3 linked regions of the Drosophila melanogaster genome follow. The protein of the gene in region 2 interacts with the protein of the main gene of each other region in a pairwise test. Each region holds a gene or a part of one and is shown on either strand. Other genes may lie near its edges. The genes, in order: trv, noc and CG13044.

Region 1 (5,656 bases), on a different chromosome or scaffold from region 2:
AAACATCTAGCACTTTAAGAGCATAGCTCATGAAATATTCAAGATAAACTTCTGGTCGTACATCAAGCCGGCAGACTTTAGTTAAAGCCACTTTAAAGCCTTCCACTTGGCAGTTAATCGATTGGCGTTAGGTCTGTGTTATGGTTCTGTGCGGGGATTAAGTGAAAAAGTCTATAAAAATACGCCGGAGTGGGCCGTGTCTGTTGTGCGTTTCCGCCGGACACGGTGACGGTGCTCGCCAGCTGCCGTGTCTGGGAGGCTAATCCTCGACAGAAGCACGTCCTCGTGCTCAACGGAAATCGCCATTCAAAAATTACGGGGGTTGGCCCGCTCACATGCCGCCAAATGTGGCACGGCAGCAGCTTTGTTTACTTTTCATTTCCTTCAAGCAGATGCCACATGCTCCTCATTCCGGTCGTTCGATGGGTAAATAAACGGCGGGTTCTGGTTTGGGATTTCCCGCATCTCTGGGGGTCGCATTTTTTCGTCACTGGCGGACTAATTTGCAAGACAATTAGAAGGTCTCTGGCCGAACCAGACGACGGTCGCTAATGAAAGCGCGCGATAAGAAAACTTAACAAATGTCAAATGGCCGAAAGGAACGATGGAGATTGCAAGTCGGAGGTTTAAGCGCCGCCGGGCCACGCTGTCTGCGCTGAAAAGTAAAGTAAATGTTTACTTGGGAAATCTGAAATTTGCATAATTTGCCAAAGAAGCAAGGAGGAGACTGTCTGCCACCGATAAAGTCGCAGTAATATTCATGGCTTTCTTGCCGGGATGGATGACAAAGTTTTGGGCCAACGATGCCATCGTTGGATTGTGTCACATGTGCCCCTCTGACCAGCGAAAGATAATGTCCGGAAAGTGTCAAACTGGACGCCGGTTTGACCATCGGCCTGCCAGGATGTCGTCGATGCCGGCTAGCAGGTGTCAGGTGCTCTACCGAGTCCTGTCAGCTGATTCCTTTGGTCAGGCTCAACAGGATGCCACGTGCTCATACCACAGTTGTTGCTGGCTTGTATCGCAGTTCTGCAGCCGAGAGCGAACCGAGGAAAATTGCGATACAAGGAGCACTAACTTTCGCTCTCGGTGAGCGGCTCTTCGTGACTTGTATCGCATTTTCGCCGCCAGCCTGTTGTTGTATTGCTTCTCGCCCGCAAAACAACTCGTAAACAAAGAGCAGAGGCGTCGATTTACCAGGGGGTTTTCACCGGAACTGATCTTTTTCGAACCTTTATACGCGTAAATCGTCCGCCATTTTGTCATTTCTGTGAAATACTAAAGCTCTGGAGCGACTATATACTCTTGTTCGATGGCGCCTCCCCTTTGGATACATAAGGCTTTGTGACTTTTACATGACCAGCGTTCAGACTCCGCCTCTGTGTCGTACATGCAGGCTGCGAGTGCATTGGTATTGGTGAGAATCCTTGCAGCATGCGGAGAGTTGAGAGAGCTCACGAAAACGTGGTGCTGCTCCTCGGTGGTGGATGCAGCCGAAGGACTTCAACGAATTCGGAAAGTGCGCTACACTTAGTAGAATATAAACTTGTTAATAGGTAAGAAACATAAAATACTAGTAGATGGTAAGCCAAAAATCCTTTAATGGCTAGAGATTTTAATTAGGTATTTGTTTTAGTTCAAAGATGCACGCGAATACCAAATCAATTACTTAAAATATTTGATAATTAAAAATGTTTTTAAAATCACTTAATATTATTCGAAAAAGTATCTCGATTTCGTATGCTGGTGCAAAATCATATTCTCGCCTTGAGCTGTAAATAATTAAGGAACTCCCAGAGTGTGTCCGTATGACAAAGTGCAGCTCATCAGGCAACTTAACCCGCTGCCACTCAGAACACGGGCGCACTGAAGAGCCATCAAAACAGAGATACTCGTGAGGCACTTGGCCAGGAGCAAGGCAGCAGGACGATGGAGTTGGTGATGAGCCGGCCTCGTTCAGCAGATGGTCATACTCGCACCTTTGCGTCCTGGTGGTGGATGTCCTTGGCTCTCTCTCTCTCTCCTTCTATCTAGCTCTCTCTATGAATATGTGCAAATTAGCATATCAAATGCCATAAATGGCGCTAAGGCAGATAGCCGTGTGTTAGTGACTGTGTGTGTGAGCCACTCTCCATTGTTACCCATACGCCACGTTGCACGAGCGAATGAGCGCACGAAGGGCGGTGCAAAAAGGACGAGGGGTGGGTGCACCTGCAGCTGTGTGTGTGTGTGCGTGTGATTTAGTTGCATGCGATAATGTCAACCACAGAGAAGAGCCGTTCGCCTTTATTCCGCTGCTTGGGTTGGCTCGCCTTACGTACCCTGTATTGGTGGCACACGTGTGTGTGTGTGTGTGTGTGTGATGGGTCGCCTTCTTCTTCTTTTTTTCGGTGGTGGTGCAGCGCTGCCACTTCAAAAGCTACTGAAACTGCTGGACGCCGACTTTGGCGACTGGGCTCTTCAGTGTCAATTCGTCGACACGAGGCGCTGCTTTTCGCTCAGAACTAATCGTTAATGTCTTGGAAAGGATATCCTTCCTGACTTCCCGGTTTTCACGGCTACCACGTGCGCGTCCGCTTACTCGTTTTTCCCATACTCATCCTGATTTGTGTTCCTGCCTCTCCGAGTCGCGAGTTTTGTTGTGCCGAAGTATAAAAATTCGATACAAGCCATCGAAAAGTGGGCCATTCGGGCGGTGTCCTGCCAGGACCTGCACTAGTGTAAGTGAGCACTGCATTTTGGCGGAAGAGAGGGAGAGTGTGAGTAGAAGGCAGTCGCTCTCTTTATTGTGCTACGTGTTCTGACCTTGTTTACATTTTTTTTTAGTAGCCGCAAATGACAACAGCGGTTCAAAGGGTGCGCATGTGTACAAGAAAACAGATCCTTAAGTCAGATAAATATCTTGTGGGATTCTGAGATGCTACACTCCTTTTTGAGATCTTTTTCACGAGAATCCAGAAATAAACTTTTTTTAATTCCTTCAATGCATTGAACAAATATATAGAAAACTTCTGTCGTCGTGCTATTACTTATATAAATCAACTAAAAATTTACATTAAATTTTTTGTTAATTTTTTTAATTAAGGGAATACTTGGTAATTTTCCAGAAATTTCGAACTGAAATGTATTAAAAAGGAATTATTCTAACAAGCCCTCTTCACTGAAGTGTATTTTAATTACTTTAACGTAACCCTTACTACAATATTTCAAAATTCAAATGGTAGCTCAATGGAATTTGGAAAGAATTTCCAATTTTCCGTTCCGTTCTAATGCATTTATAATCAGCCGAGGATTACACATTTAAATGCCAGATTTAAATCACAACCCTTCCCTCAAAAGCCCAACCACATAATTTATGTAAAAACTTTATAATCCAGGAGAGGTTTTTTGTTGCAATGGCGCTTCATTAATTTATGAATATCAAATTGCATTTTGACATTTGCCAACAAAAACTATTTAAAACTTGTCCCGGCCTGTGCCCGGCGCACAATAGCCTTGGTCCCTGTCCCAGGACCTTTTCCAGGACCCCCATCCTGGCCATTTCTTCGCGTCCCCTGCCATTGGCGATTCGGTTTGATTGAAGCACCCGCATGTACAGAACATTTTAAATATTTACAAAGATATTTCAAAAAACGCTTTTGGCATGTTTTGTTTTTGTACCCAGTTCCTTTTATAATTGTTGTTGCTGTTCTGCTGCCTGTTGTTGGTCTGTTTGTGTGTGTGTGTCCAGAGGTCCTCTGAGTTTTCCCCCCCTGTTGGTCGAGTGTTTTGCTCACTTTTCGGTCGCTGGGAAGAAAAAGGGAAAACGAACTTCAAATGTGGCATGAGGGCGGCTCTTGAGTTTGTGTGTGTGTGCGTGTGTGTGAATGTGTGTTTGTGGGCGGAGCACTTGAGGGCGCGTGTGTCCTTTTAGGAAAGTGTCAAAAACCGTTGGTCAAAAAACCGTATGGCAATTATTCAACACAATTGAATATGAAGTGCGGCGATGGCAAGGGCGAGCATGTGGGGCGCAAAACAAAAAAAAATTGCAGCGCTGGGCAAATAATGAAAAATACACCCACATCAGTATTTTTCGGCTGTCTGCACTCAGGCGCACACACACCCACCCACCCACTCACACATTTGCACCCTTTTCATGTCCTGCTGCTCCTGCCGCCGTTGCCGTTGTTGTTGCGCAGTTGCTGCCGCCTGGCAATTTTTCGGTGATAAAATATTTAAATTTAATTAAGGCCACCGACGAGCAACACGATTGCCGGGGCCAGCGGCCAAAAGGGAAGATGAAGTGGTGCCGGTCCTGGCCGGACCTTTGACCCTGCATTCCCGTTCCCAGGAAACGAGGGGATACATACGGGGCTGGGGGCTTTGGACTGGGGTTCCACGTCCTTTTTGCGCCTTTTGCATTTGCGTATGGTGCGTTTTGCAGGCTTACGGCTCTGTTGGCCGGCAAGAAATTCATTAAAAATTTTTGCTTTGATGCTACCAAATTCTTTTTGTAAGTTTCTTTGTACTTCCAGCTTTGTACATCTCACGGACAGCACAGGGCCACAAAACATACTTTCAAAGGACCTCGGCGGTCGGTCTGTGTCCTTGCCAGTGATTATGTGCTCGGACTAAACCCCTTTCGGTTTTTGTAATTAAGCTGCGAGAGCCACAATAGTTGCATATGCACGCGTTTCTTCCCAGATATTGTGCACACAAATTGAACACGATTACAGCTGGAAATTGTTGGCCAAAAAGCAAACTTTCCATATGCTAGCAACTTAATCGCCGGCAAGAAAAATCAGAAAGTTGCTGTCTTGCTTGTCTAAACCCTGAAACTAAACTATTCCGGCTCTGCCACCAAACTTTTGATCTTGAGTTGTGCAAATATTTTTCATTATGCGGGCCAAGTATTTATGGAATTATGGAAATTTGTTTTTAAGATATTTGTTTCCGTTCTACGCAACATGGAAAGTTAAAACCTGTCAGTTTCAAGAGCGGATTTCGGGACATAATCTGGTTCGATTCGGAGTCTGTTTGTTGTTTCTAAACAACAACAACCGAGCTATAGCCATTATGTTGATTGTTTATTTTCAATAAATGTAAATGCATAAATGCATATTTTTTACTCACTATGTCCTATGGTTTACGAAATTGAACTTCTTCCTAGATCAATACTAACTGTTCACATCGTTGACCGATTGCCAGGACTCAGGATTAACCCCCGTATTCATTTCAGACCTGCAATTTTAGAAGTCCTCTGTCAAGTACCCCCATCGACTTCTGATTGATACTGTACGTATGTTGTAAAATGGGGATTTATGGCCTCCAGCATGCAGTTTGACAATTAACCATGGCCATTGCCAACTGGCTGAGGCGAATGCAAAGCTTCCAGCTCAGAAATTTGGCTACAGGCAGTTGCTACTATGGCTGGACACGTGCACCTGTTTTGTCACATCTAATATTCCATTGTTTGGTCTGTGGCAAGGACTCGTTGCTGGCCAAAATGCGTTTTGGAACATTCCAAGAAGCGAAGCCAACGGAGTCAACAATGCTCTATGGACAGAGGCATGCAAATTGGCCAGGAAAAGGGAACGGAATGAGAGCTGGCCAGAAGGAAAAAGGGCACAGGCCCAGCCAATTTTTCTTGCATTTGCCTTCGAGTTTTTCGGTTTTT
Region 2 (6,239 bases):
TCGGCTTCGTGTAATTTATAATATTTTTGTATTATTTATATGACACCCCCGGCCACTGGTTTGAATTTACCTTCAGCCCACTCCCGCAATTTGCTAGTAAATAATTCACATACAGGAGCAGCGAATTTATGACGCTGACAAAGTGGCCATAAAAAATAACAAATAATAAGAGAAAATGCTATGGAACGTGTGCGTAAACTCTCCAACTCTGCAGCAGTATACATGCATATATACACGTATATACATTATTTTGGCAACACTTTTTTCGCTTTGTTGCACGCAAAACCGCAAATTATGTCTAAGCCGTATCGTAAAGTATCGCAGCACGCTCTTAACTAATAAATCCATCATTTCGCCGAAGGCCGAGAGTGTTTCCTCTACCTGTTTTAGCCTCGAAGGTATTTCGCTGCCGGGTTTCGGCTTAGGGATTCCCACAGAAAAATGTCTAAACACTCTAAATCGGGATTAAAAGTGTCGCTTCTGGGTTTTCGGCTTATCGTCCATATTTATACAGATTTTAATTTACTTGCCAGGGGCTTTGAAGGGTTCTTAAAACTCAGCTTGGTGATTAGGTAACATATCCCAAGGGCCAGATATTCCAAAATCCCCTCGGGGCTTGAGTTAAACATCTTGATACATAGTTTATGGTTAGTCCAACCGATTTGGTTGGGATTACGTTGGAGTTTTAATATCGGTTAGGTAAAGTGGCTAGAATGATCTAGATCAACAAAATCTAAATGATTAGTCACATAATATTTTCTAACTACTTAAATAATAGTAATCAATTATGTTTAGAAGGAGCTAGCCTATTATTAGCTCTTAATAATTTAATATAAATCAGCCTCGTTTTGCAATTAAACATTATTAGTATTCAGTAATTATCTTGAAACCAAGCAACGTGATTAACGCGATTTCGTGCGAAACGTAAATAAGTAAGTTAGGCAAGTGCTAACTGGAAAATTCAATCCAATTGTAGAGCGATTAAAAATGCAGCGGAGTTAACCAAACCATTAAACTATTACCAACTCTCTGAGTGCAACATGCCACAACACACATTCGCTTGTTTGATATGTGCAGATTAATTACACACACACCAAGGAAGGAGGAAAAATTGCTTGGAAAAACTTTTCGACGCGACAACAAAACAACGATTTCCACTTAAACAGCAAAACAGGAGCCACGAAAAAAAAGAGGGAAAACCAACCGCAGAAGTTAATCGAAAAACGCTAAACAAAGGCCACAACAACAGCTGTGCGAGTGAGCGGGTCAGAGGGAGAGAGGTGAAGTGCCAGAGCGGGAGAGCGACAAACAAATTAATTTTTATATGACATTAAAACGAGCGAAGCGAGGCGATGGAAATGGTTGAAGAGTGTGTTTAAGTGTTGAGTGGTTTGCTTTTCCGAGCAACAAATCTCGGTGCGAAGACAATGAGGCCTCTGCCGCGCCGCTGCCGCCACCACTGCAGCGCTGCTGCTGCTGACAGCCCCATCAAGAAAAAGTTCCCCCAGAGAGACACAGAGAGGGAGAGTGAGCGTGACATATGTGCCAAGATAAAATTAATGTGCCCCCCAAAGCAGCCACAACAACAACAACTCACTGAGCGGCGCTCTCAGCGCTCAACTGTTGCTCTCTGGACGAGTGTTGCCGTGGTGCAGCCATATTATTATGATTTTACAGGAAGCCAAATCGGAGAGCGAGAGAGAGAAAACCTGTCTTGGCTTCCATTGCAAGGCGCATGCGATTGTGATTGGACAAAAAGTACGCCATATTTGAAAATTACGCACAGTGCATCTCGCTCGCATGCAGCAGGCGGTGCTCCTCTAACGCAGGCAGCAAGCCAAAGTGTGCAGCGCTGCTCGCCGGAGAGCGCTCTCTCGCGAGTGAGCGAACGCTTCGCTGCGAGGGCAGTTACGCTCGCTGCCGCAGTCGTTGAATTCAATTCGAATTTTGACTTCGCAGCGTTCAGACGTGTTCGGAAAAACCTGAAAACCATTCGAGTGACAAGAGATATAACCAACAAAAATAAGAAACCTCAGTCAACTGTGGTCACTGATCGAGAGTGTTTCGTTTCGAGTGAAAAAGTGAAATCAGAGCCAAAACACAAATCGCTTGGCCAGCAAATTGAAATAGTGCTACAGAGATAAATTCTCTGCTCAAAACTACAAGTGTGTTAAATCGCCGATTTTCTTTGGATTTACCAACGTTTGCCGACGCATTTCTGTGGATTAACCTCATCGTCGCCGAAGCAAAGCTACGCATTTGTAGCCTTGTCTCGCAACTCACGTGGATTACCCTCGAGAAAACACACTAAGCAACTGATATGGTTGTCTTGGAAGGAGGCGGCGGCGTTGTTACCATCGGTAACAACCAGTACCTTCAACCGGATTATCTGGCCCCATTGCCAACGACGGTTAGTATTGACTAAGTTAAAAGCTGTAAAATTTTGGGATGGCCGTAAAATCTATGGTTTTAAATTTTGCGTACTTAAGAATTAAATTTGGAAAGTTCATAACATCAAACAATTTTTCAAATCTAAAAATTTATATCGTCATTAATACTTTCACGAACAAACTTTCTTTGGAAGAAATTGCATTTTCTCATAGTTTTAACTTCTCACCAAATTAAAATCAATATTATCTTAAAACTCGTAAAAAACTTTAAAATTACAAAAAACCTAATTCCAACTCCACATTTTCATTTTATTCATAACAGATGGACGCCAAAAAGAGTCCCTTGGCTCTGCTCGCACAGACTTGCTCCCAAATTGGAGCGGATTCGTCGGCAGTGAAACCCCTGCTGGCAATGGACAAGAACAAGACAAAGCCCGGAGCATGCTCCTCGTCGTCGAACTCGTCGAGTTCCTCGGGCAGTGCTGAGATCTCGGCAGCCAAGTCACCCTCCGGCCAGGCCAAATCGCCCAAGTCGAGCACTCCAATCAGCTCGACGGCAACCAGCGCAAGTCTGAGTAATACCAGCACCGGTGAAATCAAACTGGCCTTCAAGCCCTACGAGACCAATGTGCTGAGCCACCAGAACCAGAACTCCTTCAAGAGCAGCTCTTCGCTGGATGCGGAACCCACGCGTCCCAGCTCTAAGAACTCCTCATCCGCCCAGGAGCGTGTGCCATCGCGCAGCAAATCAAATGCCACGCCCACAGATGGCGGCAAGGCGGAGATTTCCGCGCACGATTCCTCATCCAGCCGAAAGACTGTCTCCCCGTCGGGATCGTCGCAACGCGGCGCCAGTCCCATTGTGCGCTCCGGCATGGAGGTGCTGAACAATGCCAACGGAACCGCCCAGCATCCCAAGGAAATGAGCAGCATGGCTGCGGCGGCAGCAGCAGCAGCAGCGGCTTACAAGGCCGCCGGACCCTATGGGCTGAATCCCCTGTCCGCCCTGTGCTGCCCGCCCGGAATGGAGCAGCACGCCAATCCCGCTTTCCGGCCACCGTTTGCCGGAGGATTCTCACACCATCACGCCGCCATGTTGGCAGTTGCCGCCAATGGAGGATATCCAGGCGGAGCTCCCGGCGGTGGACCAGCCGGACAGCCCAATCCGTACATAAGTTATCAGCGCATCAAGACACCAGCTGGCGGCGAGGCTATAGTGCCAGTCTGCAAGGATCCGTATTGCCAGGGATGTCCCTACTCGGCGCACACGCAACAAATGCTCATGGGTGCCCCCTGCCCCGCCGGATGCACCCAGTGCGAGCATCAGAAATACGGCCTGGCCATGGCCAGTGCCGCCGGACTGCCACCAGCTCATCCATACTCGCAGGCAGCGGCCGCTGCTGCGGCAAACGCGGCGGCAGCCCGTTCGGCACCCTACGTGTGCAGTTGGGTGGTGGGCGATGCCTACTGCGGCAAGCGATTCCAGACCTCCGACGAGCTCTTCTCCCACCTGCGCACCCATACGGGCAATCTCTCCGATCCGGCGGCTGCTGCGGCGGCCTTGGCCCAATCGCAGGCTCAATCCCTGCTGGGAACCCTATTTCCGCCATCGGCTCTCCGAGCTGGCTATCCAACACCACCACTGAGTCCCATGTCAGCGGCTGCGGCAGCGGCGAGGTATCATCCATACGCCAAGCCACCACCAGGCGCCTTGGCTGGAGGACCTTCGCCCTTCGGCGCCGCTGGAGCATTCAATCCTGCCGCGGCGGCTGCGGCAGCTGCTCTGGGACCCTACTACTCGCCATACGCCATGTACGGCCAGAGGATGGGAGCGGCTCATCAGTAAAGTGACTTCCACAAGAGTTAAATACCAAAAAAAAGGGGATTACGTTGAAGAGACAACCAGAGATATAGAATGAAACCATTTCCAAACCCTGTTTGAGATACTTTCATGGAAAACAAAAAAGATAAAAGCACAAAACGATTGCAAAGGCTGACACATCTCTGGCTTTTGCGCTATTCTGTGATACTAAACTGTAGTTTAAAGAGCGCTAGTTACACTTAAGTTTCGCAAACAGAAAATAATCAACCACCTAAAGAACAGTAGTAGCCGCAAAAATAGCAGGATCACTCTCTTCTATCATCGTAAATGTCTACATTGTTAGGTAAAAAGAAGTGCAGCCAACACGAAGTTCACTCACTCTTATTTGTTCTCAAAGTTCAACCAAAGTTTTTTAAGTCTTAGCCAGAACACATTCTACAACTTCCAATTTTGTTAATGAAGAACCCATTGCTGAGATGTTCAAACATTGTTTTAGTTTAACTTCGCTTTAAGTTCTATTAACTATTATTACGATTATCTGCAAGCATACAACAAACCAACAATTGAAATAATGTTCTTTAAGTCAACTTATATTTAAAGTAAGTGTAATGAATATTTGTAATACCAACCAATCAGAGATAAAAAATTAAAAAAAAATAATAATAATTACGAAAAATAAAAATGAATATTTCATATAATTATGTACTGTGTGTAAATTCTATAAATATAAACTAGATTTGCTATTTACTCCTTGATGTACGCAAACCACAATACGATCTACACAAGAAGCCACGGAATATCAAACAAAAATAACTTAAACTACATGCAACACATTCGTATAAAACTGAGAAATATACAAGAAAAAACAATTTTTAGAAGCATAAACCACGAATCTTTTCTTTTGAAACAAACTCTTTTACAGCTGGAAAACTTTTTGTTGGGCCATAATTTCGCTTCGGTTATCTGCGCTGTTTGGCTAGCTCACATATGGGTCATAAATATTGCTGATAATGCTCCACTAGGTTTTCAATTATATTTACATAAGGCTGAGTGGCAAATTCCGGAAACCATAACAAGGTCTAATTCTCTTAATTTTATAGTTCTTACTTAGAAATGGGACTAAAGGAGTTTTTAATTCTGAGAATTGAACTGCTTCTTATAAGTATCATTGATATTAAATGTAAGGTTCTAGGCAAATAAATAAATAAAATCTTATAGGTTATTCTTTAAAAATATTTTAATTAGTTTTATTTTAGACAAAAGGTATTTTAATGTGCTCTCAATTTTTTCTGGATGCACTCGAAGAAATCTGGGTTTCCCCATCTCACCTAACACATTTGAAATTCAAATTAGTACTATTAATTTGCATTGCTTGTTGCATTTTAAGCGCACTCAATTTGTATGCAGCGATTCGTATTCAGCCTAAAAAATCAAATCAAAAGCAAATTTCAATTTCACGAGGGGTGGGGTAAATAACTTGATTGGGCAAGCCTTAATAAAACAGTCGCCGGCAACAGTCATAAAACACCCAAGCTGAAAATTAAAAATCAATAAAAATCACATTTGTACCAACAATGTGTATAACAAAAATCAATTGCCATTCAATGAGCAACTCAAATGCATATATAAATGAATATGTGTGCATATGTACGTATGTATGTACATATAAAAAAATCGCTGACAAAGCGAAATGACTAACATTATTCACAAAAAATATGCTTCAGAAATATCAAAATCTGAAACCAACCAGACAACTCAAACTTAAGCAACAATCAGCCACAGCAACAATGAAAATCAATGGTGATATTTCGAGTGTATCTCATAAATAAATTAATTGTGACAATATTCAATTGATTCGATTTGAAATTATCGCATTCAACTGTCAAGCGATCAACGACAACGTTTTTTCAATTGTTTCAATTTCCAGCGGATTCTTTCAATGTCTGTTTTCATTCCCCCTTCAACCCACTTGAATGTTGTTTCTGATTTGATTTTGATTCGTTGCGAACACAGCCGTTTGGCCCCAA
Region 3 (4,020 bases), on a different chromosome or scaffold from region 2:
GCGACGACCATCGTCCAGGAGCCCGTTCTGGCCAAGGTGGGAGCCGTGGTCAAGAGCGTACCCACTGCCGTCAGCCACCAGAGCCAGTCGGTGGTGCACAGTCACGCTCATGTTGTCGAGGATGTCGTTGCTCCCGTGGTGAAGTCCACTCCGGTGGTCAGCTATGCTGCTGCCGCTCCAGTGGTTCACACCTCCTATGCCGCTGCTCCCGTTGTCCACACCAGTTACGCTGCTCCTGCTCCCGTTGTTCACACATCCTACGCCGCCGCCGCTCCCGTTCTGGCCACATCCTACGCCCAAGTGGCCGCCTCCTCGCCGCTGACCTACACCGCCACTGGTGTGTGGTAAATCCATGGCCAGGCCCACTCCGAATCCTACTCCTCTCACTGTTGACAGGTGACCAGGATGCATGTGCATCGCTGGACGGTTTTGTGATACGAATTTTAAATAAATAAATGTTTTGCTTTGAAATCGTGCAAGTTGTTTTCTTCACCCTGCGGGTCATTTATCTTCCTGTAGTTCCTAAAGAGTCTAAACAGATGATAGTAACAAATAGCTTTTATCACTAATATATAGATGAAATATATATACTAATACAAAGGTACTAGAACTGAAAAAGTAAATTAACTGTGGAACTCATTGTTCTTGGTAAATATATAATGAAATTCGGGGCTGATTTACTTTGTCTTGAAATTCAAAATGTTAGGCGAAATGTTGACATTTTGACGTGAATTTAGACTTTTTTTTTAAACATTTTCCGGCGCGTGTGGACTTGGTCTTAGCTCGCTTGGTGTACTAAAAGTGTCCTGGTTCAATGCCCTGTGTCACGTATCTACTTACATCCTGCTGCACCTGTGCCGTGGGTAAATATTGGACACCCATATGTCGGAAAAACGCCACATATGTGGGTGAAAATTAGCTGGGTGACAGCGTGGGCATCCCGCTGGTTGGGAATTGCTGACATTTTCGGGCAGTGAACTCAACGAACCATTAGCCCTCTTCAAGGGCATTTCTAAAAGTCATTGTACCTCTGATTTAAACGTTTTTAATAATACAGGCTAAAAACATTTTAAATCACTTTTTTTACAATTAAAACAATACATTAGTTAAAATGTTTGGTGCGGAAGTGTGTAATCATGGGTATCTCCATCTTTAACTTGGCAGCAAAATCAGCAAGGGGCTGGAAAAACATGGTTAGTGCTCCACTCAATCCGCGATCCACCTCTGTCACGTTCACCTCCCTTCTGACTATCTCGTGGCGGCCATTAACATATCCATTGGTGCAGTGGATGCTCAGAAGGATTAGAACAAATATCTAGAAAGAAATCCATTTAACAGAGTATTTTTATGAATATTTTCTATATTTTCTTACCGCTTTCAACAGGTAATCCATTTGTAGTGTTATCAACGGCGGGTTAAATGCAATCACTGGTGCATTATTAAAATTCTACGCATTTATATACCAAATTCTGTTCAATTCTTCAATACGAGTGTTCTGGATGTTCTGGACAGGTGCAGTCACAATTTTACGGAATAGAAAAATAAACACAGACAGTTTACTTGGAGGAAAGCAACACTTCAGTGGTCGGATTAGGTTTAAAAATGGTCAACAAAACTGTACATATATATCTAAATCCATTTTCTTCCTACAAAAAAGTTTACAAGCAGTACATATATGGCGGGATTTGGCGAAACGTGCCGGGATCTCTAGCGGGATTTCTGGCGGGGCCTTTCGGGCTCCCGCGGGATTTCGGGATAAAAGGTAGAAAGTTGAGATTAAGTATGCAGATTCCAGAGACATATACATTTGTTGACCCACGTTGTAAAAAGACGCCACACCCACAGTTTTGAAAAAACTGTTAAAATTTTCATTTAATAATCAAAGAGGTTGTTGAACTTTCTCGTTCGCATTCCCACTAGCTGATAAGCGGGTATCTAATAGTCGAGTAAATATACTATAGCGTTCTTTCTGTAGCTTTTACTCACTACTGTTTTGAATGACCATTTTAATCAAGCAAAAATCATTGCGAATTCTTGGAATTTAAGTAAATGCGAGTAAGCCAAGCGAAAGTGTTTTCCTGTCATTATAAACTTGGCCTTGAATTGGGTCGGAAGCGATTACGATTGGTTTCCAATTAGAAGTAATCTCGGACCCTTGGTTCTCCCTCCGCACCAGAAATCGATCTTCAGGTGAGTACGTGCGACTAATGAGCTCCGAGTTGTGAAATGAAATCAAGAGTGGGTATGGCAAACAAGTGCGAGGCCGAAAATAAGTGAAGTAATGAGTAGTGGGAAAGGGGCAAACTCGGTTGAGGAGGCGAGCGAGCCGAACAGAAATTGGCCACGAATAATAATCTGGTTTATGGCCAAGACCCGAGACAAGCGGCCAGAATCCGTTCAGGCACGTTCGACTTATGGCTTATTGTATCCGCCTCAATTGACAAAAGCCGGCGAAGTGCGTGTGTGTGTAAAATGTGAAGTTCAAGTATAAAAGACGTTGACAGTCCCTCAGCTCAACACATTCGAAGTCTGTCTCCCTATCCAGCGACACCAGTCGAAGAAGCCAACACCACACCAATATGTTCAAATTGGTAAGGATCGCAGGGATATCCATATGGCACCACTTTGGAATACTAACTCTTATTCTCGTCTCCAGTTCGTTCTCGCTGCTCTTTTGGCCGTGGCCGCCGCCAAGCCCGGTCACCTGGCTGCTGCTCCTCTGGTCTACAGCGCTCCCGCCACCACCACCGTCGTCCAGGAGCCCGTTCTGGCCAAAGTGGGTGCTGTTGTGAAGAGCGTGCCCACCGCCGTGTCCCACCAGAGCCTGACCCAGGTGCACAGCACCCCCGTGGTGGAGGATGTGGTGGCTCCCGTGGTCAAGACCACCGCTGTCCACTCCGCTCCCGTGTTGGCCGCCGCACCCATTGTGAAGACTTTGGCTCCCGTCGCCTACTCTGCTCCTCTGGCCTACTCCGCCCCGGTGGCCTACTCCTCGTATGCCGCTCCTCTGACCTATTCCGCACCGGTGGCCTACTCGGCTCCCCTCTCCTACGCCGCCCCAGCTCCCCTGCTGCACCACGCCCCTCTGACCTACGCCGCTGGCTCCTGGTAATGTGGTGAGGATCGAAAGAGTTTGAACTGTGCCTTTCTAGTTGAAAAAAAATAAGGAAATCGAAAAAAGAATAAATTAAATTGTGAATACCAAACAGATGATGTGAATTTCTTAATGATGTGGGGATATATAAATTAATTCTGAAGTTTACAAAGAAGCGTTCTAAAAAGTGTTCCTACATTTCTGAATGTTTTAAAAACAGAATTAAATTCATTTGAAGTACAAAACTTATTTAACAATGGTATCGATGCACAATAACTAAATACTTCAATAACATTTTGAATAAACCAAAGCTTGAATTTTATTTGTATTTATTTATTTGTTGTCCCAGCAAATAAACAAAAATTTTTTTAATTGAATATTAAATTCAGGTTGTCTTTAAAATCAACAAAATTTAGACTTACTGAAATGTGATTTAAGAGACGCAGTTGCACCCAGCCATATTGGTTTGGTATGTTTTTTGATTATGTACGTTTCCAGAACAAGAACTAATGTTTTCCAATATTACTATATATATTCCAGAGGCTAGTTCACTAAAGCTATCATAGGTACTATGATATTACCTTTACGTCGAACGTTTTTATTTATTGCATATTTGATGTACATTTAAGTTTGCAATACAGAAGAGGTAATATGTTACACATAACCAAAAATGAGATTTTCTGTGGAGAAGGGTTTCTTTGTTCGTTGTTCTACTTCAGATAAATGCTGGGGTAACTGGATACTCCCCAGATTCCCGGCTCGTACCATCCCGCACTGTTGCCCGCGTATCCAAGTGGGGCATACGAGATCGAAGTAGCTGGAGCATAGGCTGCCTTCAGGATGGGCGTGTGATCCACAATGGGGCGCCAGTAGGGACGCTTCTCGTGCACCACTGTGGAACTCTGGTGTGAGACGGCGGCTGGAAG

The links.
Region 1: the proteins of noc (region 2) and trv interact in a two-hybrid assay, tested with the Drosophila melanogaster proteins (one large-scale study listed by BioGRID).
Region 3: the proteins of noc (region 2) and CG13044 interact in a two-hybrid assay, tested with the Drosophila melanogaster proteins (one large-scale study listed by BioGRID).

The regions. Positions count from the first base shown.
Region 1 is NT_033777.3:28,024,151-28,029,806, forward strand, and holds the start of trv (trivet), read left to right. Parts: upstream 1-2,464; 5' UTR 2,465-2,720; intron 2,721-5,656.
Region 2 is NT_033779.5:14,488,926-14,495,164, forward strand, and holds noc (no ocelli), read left to right. Parts: upstream 1-1,933; 5' UTR 1,934-2,320; coding exon 2,321-2,410; intron 2,411-2,712; coding exon 2,713-4,236; 3' UTR 4,237-5,094; downstream 5,095-6,239. UniProt on the Drosophila melanogaster protein: May negatively regulate Notch-induced cell proliferation in the eye-head primordium. Required for development of the supraesophageal ganglion and ocelli.
Region 3 is NT_037436.4:16,301,673-16,305,692, reverse strand, and holds CG13044 (uncharacterized protein), read left to right. Parts: upstream 1-2,514; 5' UTR 2,515-2,579; coding exon 2,580-2,591; exon of another isoform or gene 2,592-2,656; coding exon 2,657-3,112; 3' UTR 3,113-3,203; downstream 3,204-4,020. Other genes in the region: CG13043 (uncharacterized protein), read left to right, coding at 1-348; CG43249 (uncharacterized protein), read right to left, coding at 1,103-1,315, 1,373-1,393; CG4982 (uncharacterized protein), read right to left, coding at 3,805-4,020.